3 linked regions of the Anolis sagrei genome follow. The protein of the gene in region 1 purifies or fractionates together with the protein of each later gene. This does not show direct contact. Links are inferred from orthologs where the notes say so. Each region holds a gene or a part of one and is shown in the gene's direction. Other genes may lie near its edges.

The links.
Region 2: the proteins of ETAA1 (region 1) and ATR purify together in Homo sapiens (affinity purification with western blotting; 3 studies listed by BioGRID, with this or other methods). This does not show direct contact. The link is inferred for Anolis sagrei from reciprocal best matches to the Homo sapiens genes ETAA1 and ATR.
Region 3: the proteins of ETAA1 (region 1) and RPA2 purify together in Homo sapiens (affinity purification with western blotting; 4 studies listed by BioGRID, with this or other methods). This does not show direct contact. The link is inferred for Anolis sagrei from reciprocal best matches to the Homo sapiens genes ETAA1 and RPA2.

Annotation. Positions count from the first base shown.
Region 1 is NC_090022.1:136,353,024-136,360,941, forward strand, and holds the start of ETAA1 (ewing's tumor-associated antigen 1), read left to right. Parts: upstream 1-4,828; 5' UTR 4,829-4,908; coding exon 4,909-5,080; intron 5,081-7,248; coding exon 7,249-7,386; intron 7,387-7,918. UniProt on the Homo sapiens protein: Replication stress response protein that accumulates at DNA damage sites and promotes replication fork progression and integrity.
Region 2 is NC_090023.1:237,163,626-237,171,642, reverse strand, and holds the start of ATR (serine/threonine-protein kinase ATR), read left to right. Parts: upstream 1-4,953; 5' UTR 4,954-5,242; coding exon 5,243-5,301; intron 5,302-7,905; coding exon 7,906-7,997; intron 7,998-8,017. UniProt on the Homo sapiens protein: Serine/threonine protein kinase which activates checkpoint signaling upon genotoxic stresses such as ionizing radiation (IR), ultraviolet light (UV), or DNA replication stalling, thereby acting as a DNA damage sensor.
Region 3 is NC_090034.1:86,980,573-86,988,124, reverse strand, and holds the start of RPA2 (replication protein A 32 kDa subunit), read left to right. Parts: upstream 1-4,539; 5' UTR 4,540-4,628; coding exon 4,629-4,644; intron 4,645-6,582; coding exon 6,583-6,677; intron 6,678-7,552. UniProt on the Homo sapiens protein: As part of the heterotrimeric replication protein A complex (RPA/RP-A), binds and stabilizes single-stranded DNA intermediates that form during DNA replication or upon DNA stress.

The DNA of each region.
Region 1 (7,918 bases):
CCAGGATTGGAGAATTATACCTGAAATATACCTGGTACCTTTTTGTAGTCTTTTACCTATGCTCATAGCCATCTGATATGGCTTCGGTTTTAATCTCATATTTTAACCAGTTTTAACTGTCACTAATTTCATCCGAGTGTTCAATCAGTCAGGTGTTTTTAATCTTATTAACCTTGATATTATGCACACTTATTGAGCAATAAGGGCCTCTGGACTATAATAAAATGTTGTTGTTGGTAAAACTTTGCTATTTTTACCAACCAGGGCAGAAGATATATATATATATATATATATATATATATATATATATATATATTATATATATATTTTTCCATGGATTCTTGCTGTTATTGTTTTCCTTTTTGATAGTTTCAGTATGAAGAAAAACACCTACGGCTGCTCAGGACTGGTGCAAATGAAATCCACATTCTGTGGACTTTATTCTAGCAAATTTATGGTGCTTCTCACTCACCCCCAGAACACCATGTTTGTACCAATGGGAATAAGTCTTCTCCAGACAGATCGCAAGGCACTGGCTAAAGTCTCAAGAAATTCCTGAAATATTTCAATATAAGTGGTGCTTGGAGAAGAGAAAGTTTAACATATTTGTATGCAAAGTGGTTTTAGACTGAGCAGCCATCTCTCTGGCTTAGCACAAAAGTATATTTGGCCCTCCACAACAACATAAAGCTTAGGGGAAAAAACACTCCCAAAAGTTACTGCACGGCTTGCACGGTGTCATTTTTTTGCCTGCTAACAGCCATGGCTACAATGCACCACTTTTCAGCATAATTATAACTTGGCAATTCAAGGTCAACACAGGCTGCATCAATCCTGTAGAATGAATGCAGTTCAACACCACTTTAACAGTCATGGCACAATACTATGGAATCCTGGGAGTTGTAGTTTGGAGAGGCACCAGCACGCTTTAGCAGAGAAGACTAAAGGCCTTGCAAAACTACAACTCTCGTGATTCTATAGCACTGAGCCACAGTGGTTAAAGTGGGGTCAAACTGGATTAATTCTACAATGTAAGTGTCCCCCACAACTCATTCCTTGGAGTGTGTTTCGATTCAGCCAATGGGATGTAGAGGAGGAAGAGTCACATGGGTGGCTGCCTTGTGCTGCAGCAGAACATCTAGCAAGGAAATGGGGAAATGAGCTACCTGAAGAACCAGGCTCACTGGATGTATTTATTTTTATTTAGGAAAAACTAGCCTGTTTTAGATTTACTTGTTCACCTTCTTCCATCTGCTCAAATGAAAGGGACTGCTGCCACTGCCAGAAAAAGTAAGTCATTGTGAGGGCTGCTTTGCAAAGCTGGCTTCTCCAAAATAACAGGACAGAACATACACTTGGCCTTTGTTGGCTTGTTCTGAGCAGGTTTTGAGAAGAGAGTATTCTCAGTGCTCAGGCAAGAGACACAGGGCAATAATGAGAAGAGATGCAGGGCAATGGGGAATTGAATGGTTGAGTTTGTGTGCTGCTCCAAAGCATTGAAATGCACTGCACAGCATTGTGTGGCTAAGAAAGGGGGATTCCAAGCAGGTTACTCTACTTTGAATTAGAATGGTCAGGGAAACCAAATAATCTTTCCTAATGATGATGTTGTATGTCCAAGTCATTTCAGCTCTCGTGCAACCATAAAACATGCTTATCACAGGATTTTCTTGGTAAGATTGATTCAGAAAAGGTTTGTCATTGCCTTCCTGTGAGGCTGAGAGAATGTGACCTGCCCAAGATCACTGAATGGGTTTCTGTGCCTGAGCAGTTTCATACCCTGGTCTCCAGAATCACAGTCCAATGCTGAAACCACTATACCACACTGGTTCTTCTATTAGAAACCGTAACTACAGTAATAGTGCTACATTAGTTGATCAGAGTAATGGGTAGCAAATCTAATTCCTGACTATTTTATAGGATGAGGGTTTTTTTAAAAAAAAAAGTGGTATGTGTAACTTCTATTATTTGCTTTGATTCTTTGTTGTAAAATGGTTTTCACTGGTTGTATATTTTAATGGCCATTTTGAATATTTTTAGTGTTTTTATATTTGTTTTTAAATTGTAAGCCATCTTGAGTCCCAGTTGTAAGAAAAAATCCTGAGTACAAATATGCCTTCAGGCAAAACTAAACGGGGGAGGGGGGGGAGAGATTGGCAAGGAGCAGCTCATAGTCATAAGTACTGAAAATGTATTGTAACCTGTTTTGATCACACTGTCACCATTTAATCGTTTTTTTAACTTTTGAATTGTGCTTTTTAAACTTGACTAAGTGCGAGATTGTTAGTTGCCTTGAGTCCCCTCAAGGAGCAAGGTGGGGTATAAATAAAGTTAATAGTAATAAATAATAATAGTAAAATGACCTTATATAAAATGGAAAAAATCAAGCCATTTTGGAACGTTTTCAAGCATGGATGTTTGAATCCGTGGTACAGAGGGCTGCCTTTATTTGGCCTCTTATGTGCCTGTTCCTCCCTCCCACAACCCCAAATGAAATCATATGTTTTCCATATATAATGATTAGAGAAGGGTCAATGTGTATATTGAAAGCAGCTGAGCAATTTAAGTGGAGAACAGCTAAGAAAGTAGTCCTCATATGCACTTATTTGGGAGTCAGCTTGCTTATCCTGGCCTTAACTTCTGAATCATAATAATGCACAGGAATAAACTTCAGAACTATAACCTTGTGGGGATTTGGGCATACTTAAAACAATTCAATTCAGTAGCTATCGGCCCCAAAATAATCATGGTGGGAATGACTTCCTGGATAAACACACTCAGGTGTGCATCCCCAGACATATTGGTTAGAAATGCATTCAAGGCAGGTGCTTATGACTTAAGACAGAAAAAACAGGTGCAACTCAGCTGAGCTAAACTGTTTGAAGTTGGGCAGGCGGCAGAAGATGCTCGTGGGTCTTGTAAAAGAGAGGGGCAAAAGCCTTACTACTAAAGAATTATCATTGTCAGGCCTTATCTACACTGCCATATATATCAAAAATGTGTTATATGGCAGTGTAGATGGGGCCTGAGAAATTTCTGGGAAATAGAGAAGTAAAAATATGAAGGCTACTCCATTCCAGTTGCATGTTTGGTTTTCAGAAGTATGCTGTCTGTCCATGGAGACCCCACCAAATCTTACGTTGACAACTCTATCAGTTTTGTGCCTGCAAGCCATTTCGAACCTCAAGCAAAACCTTTGATTGGGTCTTCTTGGCAAAATTTGTTCAAAAGAGATTTGCCTCCTTCTGAAGCTGAGAGAATGTGACTTGCTCAAGGCCACCCAGTGGGTTTCCACGGCTGAGCAGTGATTCAAACCCACCCTTAACCCCCGTACCACAATCCAGCCTTCAAATCACTACATCACCAGATAGTTGGCCTTCTCTGCTTGCAGGTTCCCTCGTCCTCTGCTACCAGTGGCTTCTGGGAGCTATAGTCCAAAATATGTGGAGGGGCCCTTAATCTCAGGTTGCAGCTACACTGCAAAATTGATGCAGTTTGACATAACTTGAATTATTGTGGTTCAGTGCTATGGAATATTGGGAGTTGTAGTTTGAGACACCTTCGCTTTTTGGCAGAGAAGGCTAAAGACCTTGTCAAACTGCAACTCCTAATACTCCATAGCAGTTAATCCAGGCAGTTAAAGAGGTGTCAAACTGCATTGATTTTACTGTGTAGAGGTACCCCATGCTTTCACAAACGGTTATACTGCTATTTCACAGGGCCCAACCTATGGAAACTGAGGGTGCTCTTGGGCAGGTCTCGCGCTCTCAGCCTCAGAGAAAAGAAGAGGCAAACAAATCTAGCCAGCTCCATGAAACTTAGGGTCACTATGAGACCCCTTCTACACCGCCATATATAATCCAAATTATCTGCTTTGAACTGGATTATATGGCAGTGTAAAGTCAGATAATCCAGTTCAAAACAGATTATGTGGATTATCTGCCTTGATATTCTGGATTATATGACTGTGTAGAAGAGCTTTAAATCATAAACGATTTGTAACCCACAAAACAAATGTCCATAGAATCTTTTTGAGATCAATGGTTTTGGACTTCAACTCCCAGAAGCCCCACCCAGCATGTCTAATGGTTAGGAATTTTGGGAGTTGAAGTCCAAAAGCCTGGGAGGAACAACATTTGGGGACCACTGAGGGCCCTGCCACACAGCCATATAATACCTGCTTTGAACTGGGGGCTCTTCCATTCAGCTATACAGCCCAGATTATCAAGTCAGGTAATCCACAATATCTGCTTTGAATTGAGGGCCCTTCCATGCAGACCTATATCCCAGAATATCAAGGCAGAAAATCCCACATTATCTGTGTGTGGACTCAGATAACCCAGTTCAAAGCAGATGTTGTGGGATTTTCTGCCTTGATATTCTGGGATACAGGGCTGTGCGGAAGGCCTTGAGGCCTCTTCCACGCAGGCTGAATAAAATCCCACTTTATTTGCTTTGAACTGGAATATATGGCAGTGTGGACTCAGATAACCCAGTTCAAAGCAGATATTGTAAGATTTTCTGCCTTGATATTCTGAGTTATTTGGCTATGTGGAGGGGCCCTTAGTTATCTGAGTCCACACTGCTTTATAACCCAGTTTAGAGCAGGGCCCTGGCTGGCATCAAAAGATTACAAAGCGCCTTTAGTCACTGAACACTAGCAACCCTCCATCCATTTGCCAGTTTCTGTGTGAATCGCCTCCTTTTGCCATTCCCGGCCTCTCCAACCAGATTGGGCTAGCCTCCTCTCCCACCCGCCCCTTCTCAAAATAGCTGAACCAATCTTCGCCTCCGCAGCGTCGGCTCCAGCCAATCAGCGGCAGCCTCCGAGCTCGGGCCAAGATGGCGGTGTGATGAGCGTGTGGGGAGTTGCCGCCGCCGCCGCCGCGGGAGTTTTGTATTTTCCTAATGGCGAGTAAACGGCGGGCGGCGGCGGCGGCGACAAACGTGGAGGAGCTTCGCCTCAAGAGTCCCGCGATGAGGAGGAGGAGCAGGCGAAAGACTGCGGCCGAGGGTGCCCAGGAAGCCAAGGGAGGCGAAGCGGCGGGAGAGGCCCCCGCCTCCCCCCGGGGCCCTCCAGGTACTCGCCCCTGCCTCCCAATCGCACATTCCCCCCTCGGTGCCTAAGCTGCCCTGGGAGCAAGGGAGGGCCCTCCCATGGCAGTGGCCTGCCTTTGGTTACAGTGCCTATCTTCCCTGATTGCAAGCTGGAGCGGATGAGAGTTGTTTCTCCGCCCCTCACGAGAAAAACAACAACTAGTGGCATGTTTTGCAGTAAAGCTGAGAATTGGACTCTGCAAAAGTTGCACTAGAAACAAGGAGCTCCTTCCCAAGAAAAGGAAGTCGTTTGGGGTTACAACCTCCATTAGCCCCCACCACTGCTTGAAACTGATGGAAGTTGTGATTCCCAAAACGTCTGGGGAAGGCCCCTTGGTTGCTTAGACTGGAATCCATAGAAACAGCTTGCCTCTCCCAGTTTAAGAAAAGACCCTTTTCTGATATTTTGATCCTGAGCAGGATCCTTTGCTTGCCTCTTTTCCTTCTGTACTCGCTTTTTGCTGTAGCTTCCAGGTGTCCTTCCACTGCAAAAAAGGAAGTGTCCCATGGTGCCTCAAAAATTATAATAATAATACTTTATTTTCCCCTGTAGGGACTCATGATAATGAATGAAATTATTATAAAAACCTCATTTTCTGTGTGGCATAAGTATATTATAATCTGTGCTGAGTCGTGCCTAATAATATGCCGCATCCATACAAGCAGACAGAAAGGATAGACTTTTTTTCTTTATGCAGAAATGAGGCCTCTTCCACACAGCTGAATAAAATCCCACATTTTCTGCTTTGAACGGGAACTGTTCTTGAAGTATGGATATTTTCTCTCAGGCCCCTTCAATGTGTATAAAATCCACATTGAACAGGATTGTATAGTAGTGTGAGATAACCCAGGGCCCTTCCACACAGCCCTGTATCCCAGAATATCAAGGCCGAAAATCCCACAATATCTGCTTTGAACTGGGTTAGTCCACATTCAGATAATGTGGAATTTTCTGTCTTGATATTCTGTGTTATAGGGCTGTATGGAAAGGCCCTGAGAACTTGGTTCTTACTGGCTGAATTAGGCAAAGTTTATGCAAAATTAGGCAAAGTGATATCCTAAACAAATCTATTCAGGATCAACTCCCCTTGTAGCACAGAAATGCCAAAAACATAAAATGCTTTCAGATAAGGTAAATCAAAATTGATGATTATGTTATCCACAGTTGGGGCATACCAGGCCCACTTGAAGGTGTTACTCCGCGTCATTAATGGCTTACTACACAATAAACTGGTAGTTTTGAGTCACCCCCACATAGTATGGCCAGTGGTCAGGCAGTATAGGAACTGCAATCTGAAATACTTTAAGGGACATGTAATGCATGTGTGTCCAAGTTGCCTGTCATTTTATGGCAACCTCATGCATTTCATAGGATTTAATCCACAGTTATACAATGGTTAGACAGAGCTGGGATAAGGCATTGTTACCCCAGAGTGGATCTTTCCCTGAAATGTTCATTGATGACTGCAGGGAACAGTTACCTTGGGATTGATATGAAGTGATGACATCCATATTATTGACTCAAGTGGGCTGGAGAAAAAGGCATAACTTACATGAAACATTTTTATTCCCCTCTTTAACCATATTGTACTCCTAGATCTGGATGTAACAAGAAACAATACTCCCCATGCCCTGTGTTTTAGAAGTTGCAATACCACAGGCAAAGTGGAGTACGAAACAAGGAAACTGAGATGCATGTTTTTAGTTACAAAGTGCTCAGCATTGCAAACTAGAATTGAAACAGCTGAACAGAGGAGGAACCAAAAAAAATCAGTTCAAATGCATTGTTAAAGTGGCTATGCTTTTTATTGCCAGGTGATTTATGTGTGAAAATTAGGGAGAGAGGGTAAGCCATGAAGTTGACTTCTAGCAGAACTTACATTAACCATTTTCTCAATACAGCTACCCTCCTGAGGCAGTGCTGGCCTGTGGAATAACCCTCAAACTTGTCTACAGGTCATGAAAATCCACTTTTGGGAGGCCACAAACTGTCCTTGACTCGTAAAAATATATATGGTACCTATTGCTGTTTGCTCATGTTCATCATCAGAAGAGTACAGATGTCCATGCAATGTTACTCATTTTATTCAAGAATATTGCTTGGTTTTTATTATTTTTACTAAAGTACCTTTTTGCATGTCTATCACACAGAAACTAACTCATATAAGACTCCCAAAAGAACACGAGCAGGCAGGTCACGCTTGCCAACGTTCAGTTCTCCTGCAAATGAAACCGATGTGCAGCAAGAGATCTTCTGGGATCCTCAGTCACCAATTGCATATAAGCTGGGTAACTACTCATTGCAGTTGTTTTTATTTAAACTCCTCCTTTGTGTAATCTAAACTTTGAGTTGTGGAGTAAAAGGGTTTAATTGTTTGGATTTAGATTATCTTGTTAGAATAACAAGACAGTCTCTTGTTAAGGCCATTGGTGGATGCCTTGCTCTGGATTTCCCATCCCTGGTAGTGTGATGGCTTCCCATATTGGACCATTTTATCTGTGGTGCCCTAAATTAGACAAGTCTTCCCAGATTGATTTTTCTGGAATTTGCACATTTGTATTTACTAAGTAAAAAGTGTTATTTTTGTCTGGAATCTTGTAGATCAACTATAAGGCCATAACTTGTTGTCCAGGTGGCAGTAGCAATTGTTGCTGCTGGTTCCTCTCCATAACGCAAATGCAGCTAGAGAGAGTGTGTATTCATGCAGTGGCTGAGAAGATGAGTATTACTAAGCCCAGAAGTGTTTGGCTGCTATTGCATATCTGCAGAAGCTGAAGAAAAAGCTGGTCCTTGGCTCACTAGCATAGTTATGCTGGTGGA
Region 2 (8,017 bases), on another chromosome or scaffold:
ATTTTGGCCTGCATCAATAGGAGCATAGTGTCTAGATCTAGGGAAGTAATGCTACCCCTCTATTCCGCTTTGGTTAGACCACACCTGGAATATTGTGTCCAATTCTGGGCACCACAATTCAAGAGAGATATTGACAAGCTGGAATGTGTCCAGAGGAGGGCAACTAAAATGATCAAGGGTCTGGAGAACAAGCCCTATGAGGAGCAGCTTAAGGAGCTGGGCATGTTTAGCCTGAAGAAGAGAAGGCTGAGAGGAGATATGATAGCCATGTATAAATATGTGAGAGGAAGCCACAGGGAGGAGGGAGCAAGCTTGTTTTCTGCTTCCTTGGAGACTAGGATGCGGAACAATGGCTTCAAACTACAGGAGAGGAGATGCCATCTGAACATGAGGAAGAACTTCCTGACTGTGAGAGCCATTCAGCAGTGGAACTCTCTGCCCCAGAGTGTGATGGAGGTTCCTTCTTTGGAAGCTTTTAAACAGAGGCTGGTCAGGGGTGATTTGAATGCAACATTCCTGCTTCTTGGCAGGGGGTTGGACTGGGTGGCCCATGAGGTCTCTTCTAACTCTTGATTCTATGATTCTATGATTAGCATTGAGTAGCCTTGCAGCTGCAAAGCCTAGTTGTTGCTGTCTGGGGACATCCTTTGTTTGGGAGGTGTTAACTGGCACTTGATTGCTTGCTGTCTGGAGTTCTCCTGTTTCTGAGTGGGATTCATTATTTACTGTCTTATTTATTTATAGTGTCAGAAGCGAATTGAGGGTACAGTTATAATATATTTAAAAATACAAAGTTGAAAACTTGGCATTAGGCTAAATGTCCTTTGACCAGAAGCTGGCCACTTGGAGTGCCTCAGGCGTCGTGAGAAGGTCCTTAATTGGGGACATTCTCACTTGCAGCATGATTCTGGTGTTTTTTTTAATATTGGTAGCTAGATTTTGTTCATTTTCATTGTATCCTCCCTTCTGTTGACATTTTCCACGTACTTGTGGATTTCAGTGGTTTCTCTGGGGACTCTGACATGGTAATTCTTAGAGTGGTCCAGCATTTCTGTGTTCTCAAATAATATCCTGTGTCCAGGTTGGTTCATCAAGTGTTCTGCTATAGCTGACTTCTCTGGTTGGAAAATATATATACAATTCTAGTGTATGTTTTGCATTTGATTCATACATTATATTCTGCACAGACTGAGCAAATCCAAATGCATGCTGTCAAAAACATTGCCAAATAAACACTCTGTGGGTGCATCTACACTGTCAAATTAATGCAGTTTAACATCACTTGAACTGCCACGGCTCATTGCTAAGGAACCATGGGATTTGTAGTTTAGTTATGCATCAGCACTCTTTGACAGAGAAGGTTAAAGAACTTATAAGAACTTCTATAGCTCTCATGACTCTACAGAACTGAGCCATGGCAGTTAAAGTGGGGTCAAACTGCATTAAATCTACAGTGTGGATGCACACTTTCTTCAGCTTTCCTAGATACCACAACGTAATATATATCGATGCACAAGAATGACAGAAAGTGGTGTGATGTGTGTTAAAGCAATTTATTTTCAGGATGCCGGCTGCTGAAAGCTGCTTTCCGTCTCAGACCCCATCTACACTGACCATTTAATGCAGTTTGAAACCAGCATTGAAGAAAATGGTTTAGCTGTGCCAATTATTACATAGGAATTCCTAGCATCAGTTTGAGAACTGGATGGTAATTACACAAACCACAGAGTACTGCTGCGTATTAAAGGCTTTCTCTCACAAGGTTTTGTGGGAGTTTGTTGTCTGGCCACCAAAGTTTGAATCTGTCTTCAAACTGTATTAAATGGTCAGTATAGATGGGGCCTCAGCACTCAGACATGAAGCAGGAAATCACCCTCCAGATTGGCTCTCCTCTGCCCATCAGTGTTTAATCATTCCCGTCCTCGTCTTCCCCCTCCACACAATGCGAGTTCAAGGCCTTCTTTTGATACTTTGTCTTGTATTTTCTGTATCGAAATTTCAGCAGAGGAAATGGAAAAGAAAAAGAAGAAAATCCACTTTTCTTTGTACAGATACGCTAATAATAATAATAAGATTCTGCCACTAATGTGATGACATGGGGGTTTAACTCTTGATGAGGCAGTACAGATTTGTATGGATGCAATCTGATCTGGGATATGTCCACACTGTAAGAATGAATGCAGTTTGATGCCGCTTGAACTGCCATATGGCTCAATGCTATGGAATCATGGACATTGTCATTTTGGAAGGCCTTTAGCCTTCCCTGCCAAAGAGCCAGGGTGCCTCACCAAATCCCAGAGTTTCATAGCATTGAGCCAGGGAAGCTAAAGTGGGGTCAAACTGCATTAATAACAAAGTGTGGACACACCCAATGATTCCAGCCCAGGGTTTGAACTTCTTGGAAGTCACACTCTCTCAGCCCCATAAAAACCTTACCTTAAAGTCGCCATTAAGTCAGGAAAGGCTTGAAGGTACACAACAGCAAGGCTAGTAAACACAGTAAGAGTCTATTTTGAAGTATGTCCCATTGAGGCCCCTTCCACATAGCTGAATACAATTCCACATTTTCTGCTTTGAAATCAAGATTTTCTGTCTTGATATTCTGGGTTATATGGCTGTGTGGAAGGGCCTTAAGGCCTTTTCCATACAGCTGAATAAAATCCAACATTATCTGTTTTGAACTGGAATATATGATAGTGTGGACTCAGATAACCCAGTTGAAAGCAGATATGGTGAGATTTTCTGCCTTGGTATTCTGTGTTACATAGCTGAGTGGAAAGGCCCTCAGTCCACTTCGCCATATATCTCCATCCGTGGTCATCTCGATCTACCCAGGAAAATCTCCTATACATACTGGGCCCTAGGGAAGTACACCTGGAAGCTACAAGGCGTAGAGCTTTTTCGAACTATGCTCCAATTCTGTGGAACTCATTGCCTCCATACATTAGAGCAATGTCGGAGTTGCGACCTTTTGTAAAGGCGCTCAAGACTTGGCTGTTTGGTTGTGCATTTAAGTAATCAGATCTAATTTGCCAAATAGTCACTGTTGAATGTTTTTATGTTGAATGTTTTTATATTGTGTAAATGCTATTTTAGATTGTAAGTCGCTCGGAGCACCTTGGTGGAGAGCGACTAATTAAGAAATAAAGTGAAGTGAAGTGAAGTGAAGTGAAGTTCAAAGCAGATATTATGGGATTTCCTTCCTTGATATTCTAGATTATATGGCTGTGTGTTAAAATTGCTGGAAGAAACATTAACAACCTTAGATATGCAAATGATACCACTTTGATGGCCAAAAGTGAGGAGAAACTGAGGAGCTTTCTAATCAAGGTGAAAGAAGAAAGTGCAAAAGCTGAGTTGCAGTTAAATATATAGGAAAACAAGATTATGGCAACAAGAATGATTGATAACTGGCAAATAGAGGGAGAAAACGTGGAGGCCGTGACAGACTTTGTATTTCTAGGTGCAAAGATTACTGCAGATGCACACTGTGGCCAGGAAATCAGAAGACGCTTACTTCTTGGGAGGAGAGCAATGTCCAATCTCGATAAAATAGTAAAGAGTAGAGACATCACACTGGCAACAAAGATCCACCTAGTCAAAGCCATGGTATTCCCTGTAGTAACCTACGGATGTGAGAGCTGGACCTTAGGGAAGGCTGAGCGAAGGAAGATAGATGCTTTGAACTGTGGTGCTGGAGGAAAGTTCTGAGAGTGCCTTGGACTGCGAAAAGATCAAACTAGTCCATACTTCAGGAAATAAAGCCCGACTGCGCATTGGAGGGAAGGATAGTAGAGGCAAAGATGAAATACTCTGACCACATTATGAGAAGAAAGGAAAGCTTAGAGAAGACAATGATGCTGGGGAAAATGGAAGGAAAAAGGAAGAGGGGCCGACTAAGGACAAGACGGAGCGATCATATCTAGAAGTGACTGGATTGACCTTGAAGAAGCTGGGGGTGGTGACGGCCAACAGGGAACTCTGGTGCGGGCTGGTTCATGAGGTCACAAAGAGTCGAAAGCAACTGAACGAATAAACAACAGTGGCTGTGTGGAAGGGCCCTGAGTCCACACTGCCATATATCTCAGTTCGAAGCAGATATTGTGGGATTTCCTTCCTTGATTTTCTGGATATTTTTTTGTCGTGTCAGGAGTGACTTGAGAAACTGCAAGTCGTTTCTGGTGTGAGAGAATTGGCCGTCTGCAAGGATGTTGCACAGGGGACGCCCAGATGATTTGATGTTTTTATCATCCTTGTGAGAGGCTTCTCTCATGTCCCCGCATGAGGAGATGGAGCTGATAGAGGGAGCTCATCCACCTCTCCCCAGATTCGAACCTGCGACCTGTCGGTCTTCAGTCCTGCCAGCACAGGGGTTTTACCCACTGCGCCACCGGGTGCTTTGGTGCTATATTCTGGATTATACGGCTGTGTGGAAAGGCTCTGAGTCCACACTGCCATATATCTCAGTTCGAAGCAGATATTGTGGGATTTCCTTCCTTGATATTCTGGATTATGTGGTTGTGTGGAAAGGCCCTGAGTCCACACTGCCATATATCTCAGTTCAAAGCAGATACTATGGGATTTCCTGCCTTGATATTCTGGATTGTGTGGCTGTGTGGAAAGGTCCTGAGTCCACACTGCCATATATCTCAGTTCAAAGTAGATATGGGATTTCCTGCCTTGATATTCTGTTTATATGGCTGTTTGGAAGGGTCCTGGATTCAATAGCACCTAAACTGCAGAACAGAGGGACACTGTTATAGCTCTATGTTCTACTGTAGTTGCCACGGCAACATTCTGTGGCATTCTGGGTTTGGTAGTTCAGTGAGACCCGAAACCTCTTTGGCTGAGCGGGCTAACTATCCCTCGCTTAAACTCAAAATCCCAGCGTCCCACGCGGTGTTGCCATGGCGATGAAAGCGGAAACTAGTCCTGTCACAGCTTAAAGGGATAGAAGAGGACCTGCAATTGAATATGTTGTTACAATTTAGTCAATGAGTGAGATAACGCGATAGTTGAAACAGAACTTCCTCTATTAATATTAATTTAAAAGAAGGCGGCATCGTGTTTTCATAGCAATCTCTTTTGAAATTGGTCGTGAGAGAGAGAGAAAGAGAGAGGGAGGGGGAAGGGCAAAACGCCTTTGTGGGAAGTTTGGCGCCTGTCAGCTCCCGTCCAGAGGGCGGCTTCCCTGCCTAGAAGAGGAAAAGGAGGCGGGAAACGGCACTGAGTCGAAGTGAGGATGGGCGACCAGGGGCTGGAGATGGCCTCCGTGATTCCTGCCCTCCGGGAACTGGGCAGGTAAGCCCCAAACCCTCCAAAACCACCCAAAGAACAGTAGCAACAGTTGCACCTTTGCTGTTGGGTGGTTCAGGGTACACAGTGTGGAAAAATAGAACATTATATGTGACACAGCTGTGGAGGCTTTTAAACAGAGGCTGGATGACCATCTGTCGGGGGTGCTTTGAATACAGTTTTCCTGCTTCTTGGCAGGAGGTTGGACGGGATGGCCCATGAGGTCTCTTCCAACTTTATGATTCTATGGTTTTTGTTCCTGGGTTATAAATGTAATTTCCTAATTCCTAATCAGGAAAACATGGGGAAGCTGCTTAAAATGCAAAAACCATCTCTTTATCTATATAAATAAAAATGTAATGTTGCTTTGTGGGATTAACATAACTCAAAAACCACTGGACGAATTGCTGCCAAATTTGGCCACAAGACACCTACTAACCCAAGGAGTGAGCAACACTAAAAAAATTGATTTTGTCATTTGGGAGTTGTAATTGCTGGGATTTATAGTTCACCTACAATCAAAGAGCATTCCGAACTCCACCAATGATGGAATTGAACCAAACAAGGCATAGAGGACTCCCATAACCATCAGAAAACACTAGAAGGGTTTGTGGGCATTGACCTTGAGTTTGGGAGTTGTAGTTCACCTACATCCAGAGAGCACTGTGGACTAAAACAATGAAGGATCTGGACCAAACTTGGCACGGATATTCCATGTGCCCAAGTAGGAACACAGATGGAGTTTGGGAGAAATAGACTGTGACATTTGGGAGTTGTAGTTACTGGGATTTATAGTTCACCTACAATCAAAGCATTTTGAACCCCACCAACGATAGAATTGGGCCAAACTTACCTCACAGAATCCCCATGACCAACAGAAAATATTTAAGGCCATTCAGTCCAACTCCCTTCACCAGAGCAAGAAAACGTTTTCAAAGCCCTCCTGACAAAGAGCCATCTAGCCATAGATATAGATAGATAGATATGATTCACACACATATAGTATCATAGATTTCAAAGAGACTCCTAAAAAAGGAAAATTATATGTTGTATGATCCAGAGTAGGCAAAACAGACAATCTCCACATCAACACTGACAAAGAAACAGCAAGAAATACTGTTTACCCACAAGTATAAAAAATTACATATATTAGAAACCAACACTTCCTCATTACTTTATTATCCAGATCACCAGACTGAGCCACAGCAACGCATGACAGGGAATGGCTAGTTTACTATATTTATCTACCGCCCCTCTCAGGGAAGTTTACAATCAGCATCAAAAACATAAAATACGATTTAATCAATTAGCTTAAATATAAAACCAAATAAAACAGTCAATGTCAACAAAAACATATATCAATTAGAGTCTCCTTGTTTTTGCGGGACATACTGCAGCACATCTTGCTAGAGTTTTTAAAATGAATATCTCATAGAGTCTCAACCAATGCAACATAGTTTGTGGCAGCCACAAAAATGAAGTTTCTGGAGTATAGCGACAACTTTCAACAGGCGTGGGCAAACTTGGGTCCTCCAAGTTTGTTGACCTTCAACTCCCACAATTCCTAACAGCCTCAGACCCCTTCCTTTCTCCCTCAACTGCTTAATTAAGGAATTGTGGGAGTTGAAGTCCAAAACACCTGGAGGGCCCAAGTTTGCCCATGCCTGACTTTCAAAGTAAGTAGCACACAATTAAACAAGAAATAATGCTTTTAAACCAGAAACTGATTTTTTTTCTATTTTGTTACATAGTGTTGTTATTGTTTATTTATACCCCACTTTTTCTCTCCGCAAAAGAGACTCCCCTTAGCTCAGTATTGGGGTCACGATTTCTAGATGCCACTTAGATATGTACACAAATCTGTTTGCGACAACATATGGTGTTTTACTGTGTAGAAAATGCTTCAGCCTTGCTTCACGAAAAAGGAAAATTTGTCTCCTTAGCAAGCCTTGCAAATCCTGTAAATGTTCGGTATTTATGCTTGTTTTACATACTTGAGGGTATGTTGTTGCTGCTTTTATTTGTATCCTGCTTATCTCACTAAAAAAGAGACCCAAAGTGTCTAACATTAAACGCAATACAATGTATAATTTAAAACATAGAAAGCATACAAACATTAAAATACAATTAAACATTGTAACTATTAAAATAGTTAAAACCATTAGAACCTATTCACATAATATTTCCATTTGGCTATTTGAGGGAAAAGGCAGTTGGAAGCATAGCTGAAGTGGCATTCCCATCTGTAAGAAAGGTTTCTAAGCAAGACGCACAACAACAGTATTAAAACAATTATGCATAACCTACAGATGAAAAGTTGCTTCATAATGTGCTGCTATCTGTTAGCCAGTATATGTGCATGGTTGTGATTGATGAAAATCAAATTGTAAAGCTGCAAACGATGAAATGTAAATGGTCATTTACAAATTAATGCTGATGACATAGACATCCCCACTGCATTACTGGTAATGTAGTGGGGATGTGAAGTGAAACCCATAGTTTTAATTAAAGCCACAATTGATGGAAATGAATGGCTAGATAACTTGTGACATTCAGAGTAACATATGAAAGTAGAGAGACAATGCTAATTGTTAAATACATTAATTCCAGTGCCACCCCAGAGGAATACAATACTGTTGTGCAGAAACCAAGACAAATTCTCTGTCAGTTCATTGATCGAATTCTAGTGGATGTAGATGTTGGTAAGTAAAACAAAACTGTT
Region 3 (7,552 bases), on another chromosome or scaffold:
CCTATTTTGATGGATTCTTTTCAGTTTGTGAAGCCCGAGGATGTGGACAAGATACTTGGAGGAATGAGGCCCACCACGTCCATCCTAGACCCCTGCCCATCCTGGCTTCTGAGGGAGGCCAGAGGGGGATTGGCTGAGTGGGTAACGGTGGTGGTTAATGCCTCCCTTCGGGAAGGCAAGATTCCAGCGAGCCTAAAACAGGCTATTATAAAGCCGCTGTTGAAGAAACCATCACTGGACCCCACTAAATTTGACAACTTTCGGCCTGTTTCCAATCTTCCCTTTTTGGGCAAAGTCATGGAAAGCGTTGTGGCTTCACAACTCCAGGTACTCTTGAGAGACACGGATTATCTGGATCCGGCACAGTCTGGTTTCAGACCGGGACATGGTACCGAGACGGTCTTGGTCGCCTTAGTGGATGATCTGCGCCGGGAGCTAGACAGGGGGAGTGTGTCCCTGTTGGTGCTCCTGGACCTCTCAGCGGCCTTCGATACCGTCGACCACGGTATCCTTCTGGGGCGCCTTGCGGGAGTGGGTCTTGGGGGCACTGCTCTGCAGTGGCTCCAGTCATTCCTGGAGGGACGGACCCAGAAGGTGTTATTGGGGGACTCCTGTTCAACTCCACAGCCTTTGACCTGTGGGGTTCCTCAGGGTTCTATCCTGTCCCCCATGCTGTTTAATATCTACATGAAGCCGCTGGGTGAGATCATCCGGAGTTTCGGGGTGCGGTGTCATCTGTACACAGATGATGTCCAGCTCTGTCACTCCTTTCCACCTGCTACTAAGGAGGCTGTCGAAGTCCTGAACCGGTGCCTGGCCGCTGTAATGGTCTGGATGAGGGCGAACAAACTGAAATTAAATCCAGACAAGACAGAGGTACTCCTGGTCAGTCGCAAGGCCGAGCAGGGTATAGGGTTACAGCCTGTGCTGGATGGGGTCGCACTCCCCTTGAAGGCGCAGGTTCGCAGCTTGGGTGTAACCCTGGACTCATCGTTGAGCCTGGACCCCCAGGTTTCAGCGGTGACCAGGGGAGCATTTGCACAGCTTCGGCTTGTGCGCCATCTGCGCCCGTACCTTGGGAAGTCTGACTTGGCCACGGTGGTACATGCTCTGGTCACATCCCGTCTTGACTACTGCAACGCTCTCTACGTGGGGCTGCCCTTGAAGACGGCCCGGAAGCTGCAGCTAGTCCAGCGCGCGGCAGCCATGTTGTTAACAGGAGCAGGACGCAGGGAGCATACAACGCCCTTGTTGTTCCAGCTCCACTGGCTGCCGATTTGCTACCGGGCCCAATTTAAGGTGCTGGTGTTATCCTACAAAGCCCTAAACGGTTCCGGCCCAAAATACCTTGCGGACCGCATCTCGGCCTACGAGCCCACGAGGACCTTGAGATCATCTGGGGAGGCCCTTCTCTCGATCCCGCCTGCCTCACAGGCACGTCTGGCGGGGACGAGAGAGCGGGCCTTCTCGGTGGTGGCCCCCCGGCTGTGGAACTCCCTCCCTGCTAACATCAGACAGGCCCCCTCCCTCATGGCCTTTCGTAAGGGCCTGAAGACTTGGCTCTTCGAGCAGGCTTTCAACTAAATGCTACGTTACGGGTAATGACAACCGGATTGAACTATGACTACGAGATTGACTATGATTCCATAAATATGACGGAGCGGATTTTTAGTGTAAGTTAGATGTTATGTATTAGTGATGTTAATTGTTGTTCTGATTCCTTTGTAAAGTGTCCTTTTTGTACTGTACACCGCCGCGAGTCGCCCTAGGGCTGAGAGCGGCGGTTAACAAATGCAAGAAATAAATAAATAAATAAATAAATAGTTGCTGGGATTTATAGTTCACCTACAATCAAAGAGCATTCTGAACTCCACCAATGATGGAATTGAACCAAACTTCCCACACAGAACCCCCATGACCAAGAGAAAATACTGTCTCCTGATGGTCTTTGGCGACCCCTCTGACACCCTCCTCGCGACCCCCAGGATGAGAAACACTGCCACAGATCTCTTAGAAGCTTACCAAAAGGTCAAGGTTTTCCCTTGACATGAAGTCCAGTTGTGTCCGACTCTGGGGTGGGGTGCTCATTTCCATGTCTAAGCTGAAGAGCTGGCATTGTCCATAGACACCTCCAAGGTCATGTGGCTGGCATGACTGCATGGAGAAGCCTACTAGCCTCCCTATAATAATAATAATAATAATAATAATAATAATAACAACACTTTATTTGTACCCTGCTACCATCTCCCCAAGGGACTCGGTGCGGCTTACATGCCGAGCCCAAACACAACAATACAAGCAATAATCACAACAATACAAGCAATTAAAATAAAACATAAACATATAACATTATCAATAAGACTGTGCCAGTACAGCTGTACCAGAAGCTCCCATTTTGTTTGCTTTGCATTGAATGTTTGTTATAGTCCCAAGTTTCAGGGACTCTGCAGATAGGTGGCTTCTTTTGGCTGCAATCATAGGGCAAGCCACCTGTCAATTATTGTTAGGTTCCCTGGTCCTGCCCCTTTTTGAGTTTTGGAGGGAATAGGAGCCTTTTTGAGTCAGTTCTCACAGAGAAGCCTTTCGCACAGGACATAAAACGAAGAGCTCCTGTAGAAAGCTTCATCTTCTACGGCTTGGCCGGGGAGATATACAGCCTACAGCTTGGCCAGGGTTATACAGCCCACAGCTTGGCCGAGGATCATACAGCCTTTCAGCTCCTTTGCTGAGGGACTTCAGCCAGCCATCACAGCAACCTGAATTCCTTCTTTTCCCCTGGAAGTCTACAAAGCTCTGTTGGGGCAAGGGTCGCTTGTGGAAGCCAGATGCAGTTGGTACCGGGTGCAGGGGCTCCATGCCAACAGAGGCAAAGACAGACTGCCCAGATTGGAAGTTAAGGATTTCCCCATTAGTTATTATATAGTTATGAAGATAGTGCCTGTTCCCAGTGAACAAGATTGCAAGAGCCTATAGACTGTTATGAAAACTTTTAAGTACCTGTTTGTTTTTTATCAATAAATAACTTTGTTGGACTTACTTTAAGCCTCTACAGAACTTTGGGGGGGTCCAAGGGCCTTTAATCTGAGGCAGCCCCGGCGTCCCGTTGGGCACACAGAATTTATGTCCTGTCTACAGTCATATGCAGATGACACCACTCTGATGGCCGAAAGCGAGGAGGAGCTGAGGAGCCTTCTAATCAAGGTGAAAGAGGAAAGTGCAAAAGCTGGGTTGCAGCTAAACATTAAAAAAAACAAGATTATGGCAACAAGAATGATTGACAACTGGGAAATAGAGGGAGAAAATGTGGAGGCCGTGGCAGACTTTGTATTTCTAGATGCAAAGATGACTGCAGATGCAGACTGTGGCCAGGAAATCAGAAGACGCTTACTTCTTGGGAGGAGAGCAATGTCCAATCTCGATAAAATAGTGAAGAGTAGAGACATCAGACTGGCAACAAAGATCCGCCTAGTCAAAGCCATGGTATTCCCTGTAGTCACCTACGGATGTGAGAGCTGGACCTTAGGGAAGGCTGAGCGAAGGAAGATCGATGCTTTTGAGCTGTGGTGCTGGAGGAAAGTTCTGAGAGTGCCTTGGACTGCGAGAAGATCCAACCAGTCCATCCTCCAGGAAATAAAGCCCGGCTGCTCACTGGAGGGAAGGATACTAGAGACAAAGTTGAAGTACTTTGGCCACATCATGAGGAGACAGCAAAGCCTGGAGAAGACAATTATGCTGGGGAAGGTGGAAGGCAAAAGGAAGAGGGGCCGACCAAGGGCAAGATGGATGGATGGCATCCTTGAAGTGACTGGACTGACCTTGAAGGAGCTGGGGGTGGTGACGGCTGACAGGGAGCTCTGGCGTGGGCTGGTCCATGAGGTCACGAAGAGTTGGAGACGACTGAACGAATGAACAACAACAACTACAGTCATATGCACAGGCCCAGCGCGCGACAGCACAAAGACAACAAAAACCCGATGGCTGAACTGTAAAAGGATGCAATTTCGTGACGCGCCCACAAGATGGCGCCAAAACCCCACATTGGAGCCGCAAAAGGCGCTTCTACCAAGGGTGCTGTTCTCGTTGTGTCCACTGGAGGGAGGCAAAGAGAACGGCCAGTAGGGCATTGCAGTGCTGCTCAGGAAGAAGCTCATTGGGAGAACTAGCCATCTTCTGCGCTGCCTGGGGATAATGGGGACTGATGTCCAACACAAGCCCCTCAGGAGAAAGAATCAAAGGAGGCTGAGCCATCAGCCCTCCATTGTGACGGAACTAATAACCAATTATAACAGGCACGGGCAAACTTGGGCGTTCCAGGTGTTTTTGGACTTCAACTCCCACCATTCCTAACAGACTCAGGACCCTTCCTGAGGGCCTGAGTCTGTTAGGAATGGTGGGAGTTAGTCCAAAACACTTGGAAGGCCCAAGTTTGCAAGGCCTACCTTATGAAGAAGCTGATTGGCGGCTCGCGGTAGGGGCGGGGCCTGTAGCTGGCCTATCCCGAGCGCTGCTTTTTGCGCGCGCCTTGCTGAAGAAGGAGCGCATGCGCCAGGGGAGCCCGCTGATTTTCTTTTGCCGGTGGGACAAGGTTGCCATTGCTGCGTGTCGCGGACTTTCTTCATCGTCGCGGGATGTGGGCCGGGACCGGTGAGGGAGCCGAGAGGAGGGAAAGCGGGGCCGAAGCAAGGGAAGGCTGTGGGGGGGGAGGAGGAGGAGGAGGAGGGGGGGAGGGGGCTTCTTTGAACATGTCTGAACTCAAGGGAAATAGTTGAAGCCCTCAAAGGCTTGAGGCCTAGATGTCGGGAGGATGGAGTGCCCCTCCATTGAAGGGCCTGCTTGAGGTCTTAGGCCTGGTGGAGGGGTGGCTTCTCCTTGTGCTCTTTTCAGAGCAAAATACTGTGATTTGGGGCCTTCTGGGAATTTTAGTTTTTGAAAAGACTCTTACAGCAGGCATGTATAACTATTATACTATGATTCTATGACAGGCCTGGGCCAACTTGGGCCCTCCAGGTGCTTTGGACTTAATAGTAATAATAAAACTTTATATATATCCCCTCCCATCTCCCCAAGGGGACTCGGGGCGGCTTACATGAGGCCAAGCCCAACAACACATCAGTAAAACAAGACAGCAAGCAAATAAAACAGTACAATTAATATAACTCACATATAAGCAATAACACAAAAAATTAAAAATGTATGGCCATAAATAGATTAAAATTTTAAAATAAACACTACGCGAACAGAGGTAGGATGTCTCTAAGCAGAAGGGTTTTAAAGGATAATGTAGGAGATCAACCCAATGGGTAGTTAAGGTGCTTCTGAGGACATTTTGCTGGGAATTGGTCAGAGCAAGGCATCCTTTAAGCGGCTGAGAGGGAAAAGGAAGGGGCCTGAGGCTGTTAGGAATGGTGGGAGTTAAAGTCCAAAACACTTGGAGGGAGGGCACAAGTTTGCCCATGCCTGGTTTAGAGGGCATGCTTATCAAGTTTCCAAATGACACCAAATTAGGAGAGATAGCCAATACTCCAGAGGACAGGATCAGAATTCAAAATTACCATAACAGGCAGTGACAGACTTTGTATTTCTAGGTGCAAAGATTACTGCAGATGCAGACTGCAGCCAGGAAATCCAAAGACATTTACTTATTGGGAGGAGAGCAATGACCAATCTCGATAAAGTAGTGAAGAGTAAAGACATCACACTGGCAACAAAGATCCGCATAGTGAGGAAGACCGAGCGAAGGAAGATAGATGTTTTTGAACTGTGGTGCTGGAGGAAAGTCCTGAGAGTGTCTTGGACCCTGAGAAGACCCAACCAGTCCACACTTCAGGAAATAAAGCCCGACTACTCATTGGAGGGAATCTATTAGAGGCAGAGATGAAGTACTTTGATCACATTTAGTGCCCAGATCGAGGGAAGTCATGGTGCTTCTCTATTCTGCTTTGGTCAGACTTCACCTGGAATACTGTGTTCTGGTCACCACAGTTTAAAAGAGATATTGACAAGTTGGAAGGAGGGTGACTAAAATGATTGAAGATCTGGAGACCATGAATCCCTATGAGGAGTGTCTTGGAGAGCTAGGTATTTTAGCCTGCAGAAGAGAAGGTTATTTATTTCCTAATGGAGACTCAAAGTGCCTAAAATTACAAATCATACAATTAAAACCCACAGAAGCAATAAAATAGAAATAACCGGACTTTAAAAAAAAACATGGTAAAATCACTTAAAAACCTGTTACTCACGTAACATAATTGTAAGTTAATAAATAATTTTAGCATGTATATTTACATTTGTGTGTTGTTTTTCTTGCCTGCCACCTGAGATTTCTGTACAGAGGGCATGCTATAAATATTTCAATTAATAACTGAATTCCTTTGCCCAGCTCTTGATGTCGCAGGTGGAAGTGTGACATCTGGCCTGCACCCATCTGCCATCTGTCAGAATGTGCAGTTGGTACTGATGGATACACTTTAACCTGTTTCTGATCTATTTCCAATTTGCTCCCTACTCTTAAACCCCAGAGACTGAGAAGTATGAAAGTAACTTTGCAGCTTTGCCCTATTATTTTTATCTTTTGAATTTCAGGTGGCTATGACAGTGCATATGGGGGAGGAGGAGGATATACACAATCGCCTGGAGGCTTTGCATCCCCTTCTGCGACACAAGATGAAAAGAAATCGGTAGGTTTCAAGGTGCAGGTTATGACCTACAAAGCACCTATCTTTGTGACTGCATCTCCCCCATGAACTGGTGTGGGTCCTTAGATCCATTGGGGAAGCCCTCCACTTGCTCCCACCATTTTCACATGCACAGTTGGTGGCGATGAGGGAGAGGGCCTTCTTGGTGGTGACCCCACAACTTTGGAACACCCTCCCCAGGGAGATTAGGCAAGCCCCTACACTGTCCTCCTTTCATAGGGATCTGAAAACCTGGATGTTCCAACAAGCATTTGGGAATGACTAGTCTCTACTTATAAATGCCCAGTCCCTAGTTCTCCAGATAGTACTCTGTTCTCGGCACTTTTCCCAATCCCCGACCTTATGCTATGCTGTTTTGCACTATCCCATGCCCAGTCCTTTTTATAGCCTGATCAGGTCCATCTCAGTATTTTTAGTTATCGTTTTTTGTCATTCATTTTTTGAACGAGTCTTAATGCTGTTGTTTCATACCTTAATGTTTTACTTAATTGTGTTTTTATCTGATTGTTATGCTTTGCTATGTTTTATTTTAATCGTGTTTTTTGTTTTAATGGATTGTTTTGTTTTGATGTTTTGTGGACATTTTGTCCTATGTTTACGCCGCCCCAAGTCCCTTCGGGCAGATTGAGGTGGGGTATAAAAATAAAATTGTTGTTATTATTATTAGCTTGCATGAAAAAGCCAGGACTTCTTTTCGAAATGGGAATGGAGGTTTTCCTTTGAAATAGTTTTCTTTTTTTCTGAAAGCATGGCCTTATAAGATGTTGAGGCATAAAAATAATTCCTTTTACGGAATAACATGTTTGTGTTATTCCACTGAGCACAACACATTAGTATTATTTGTTTTCAGAGTTAAT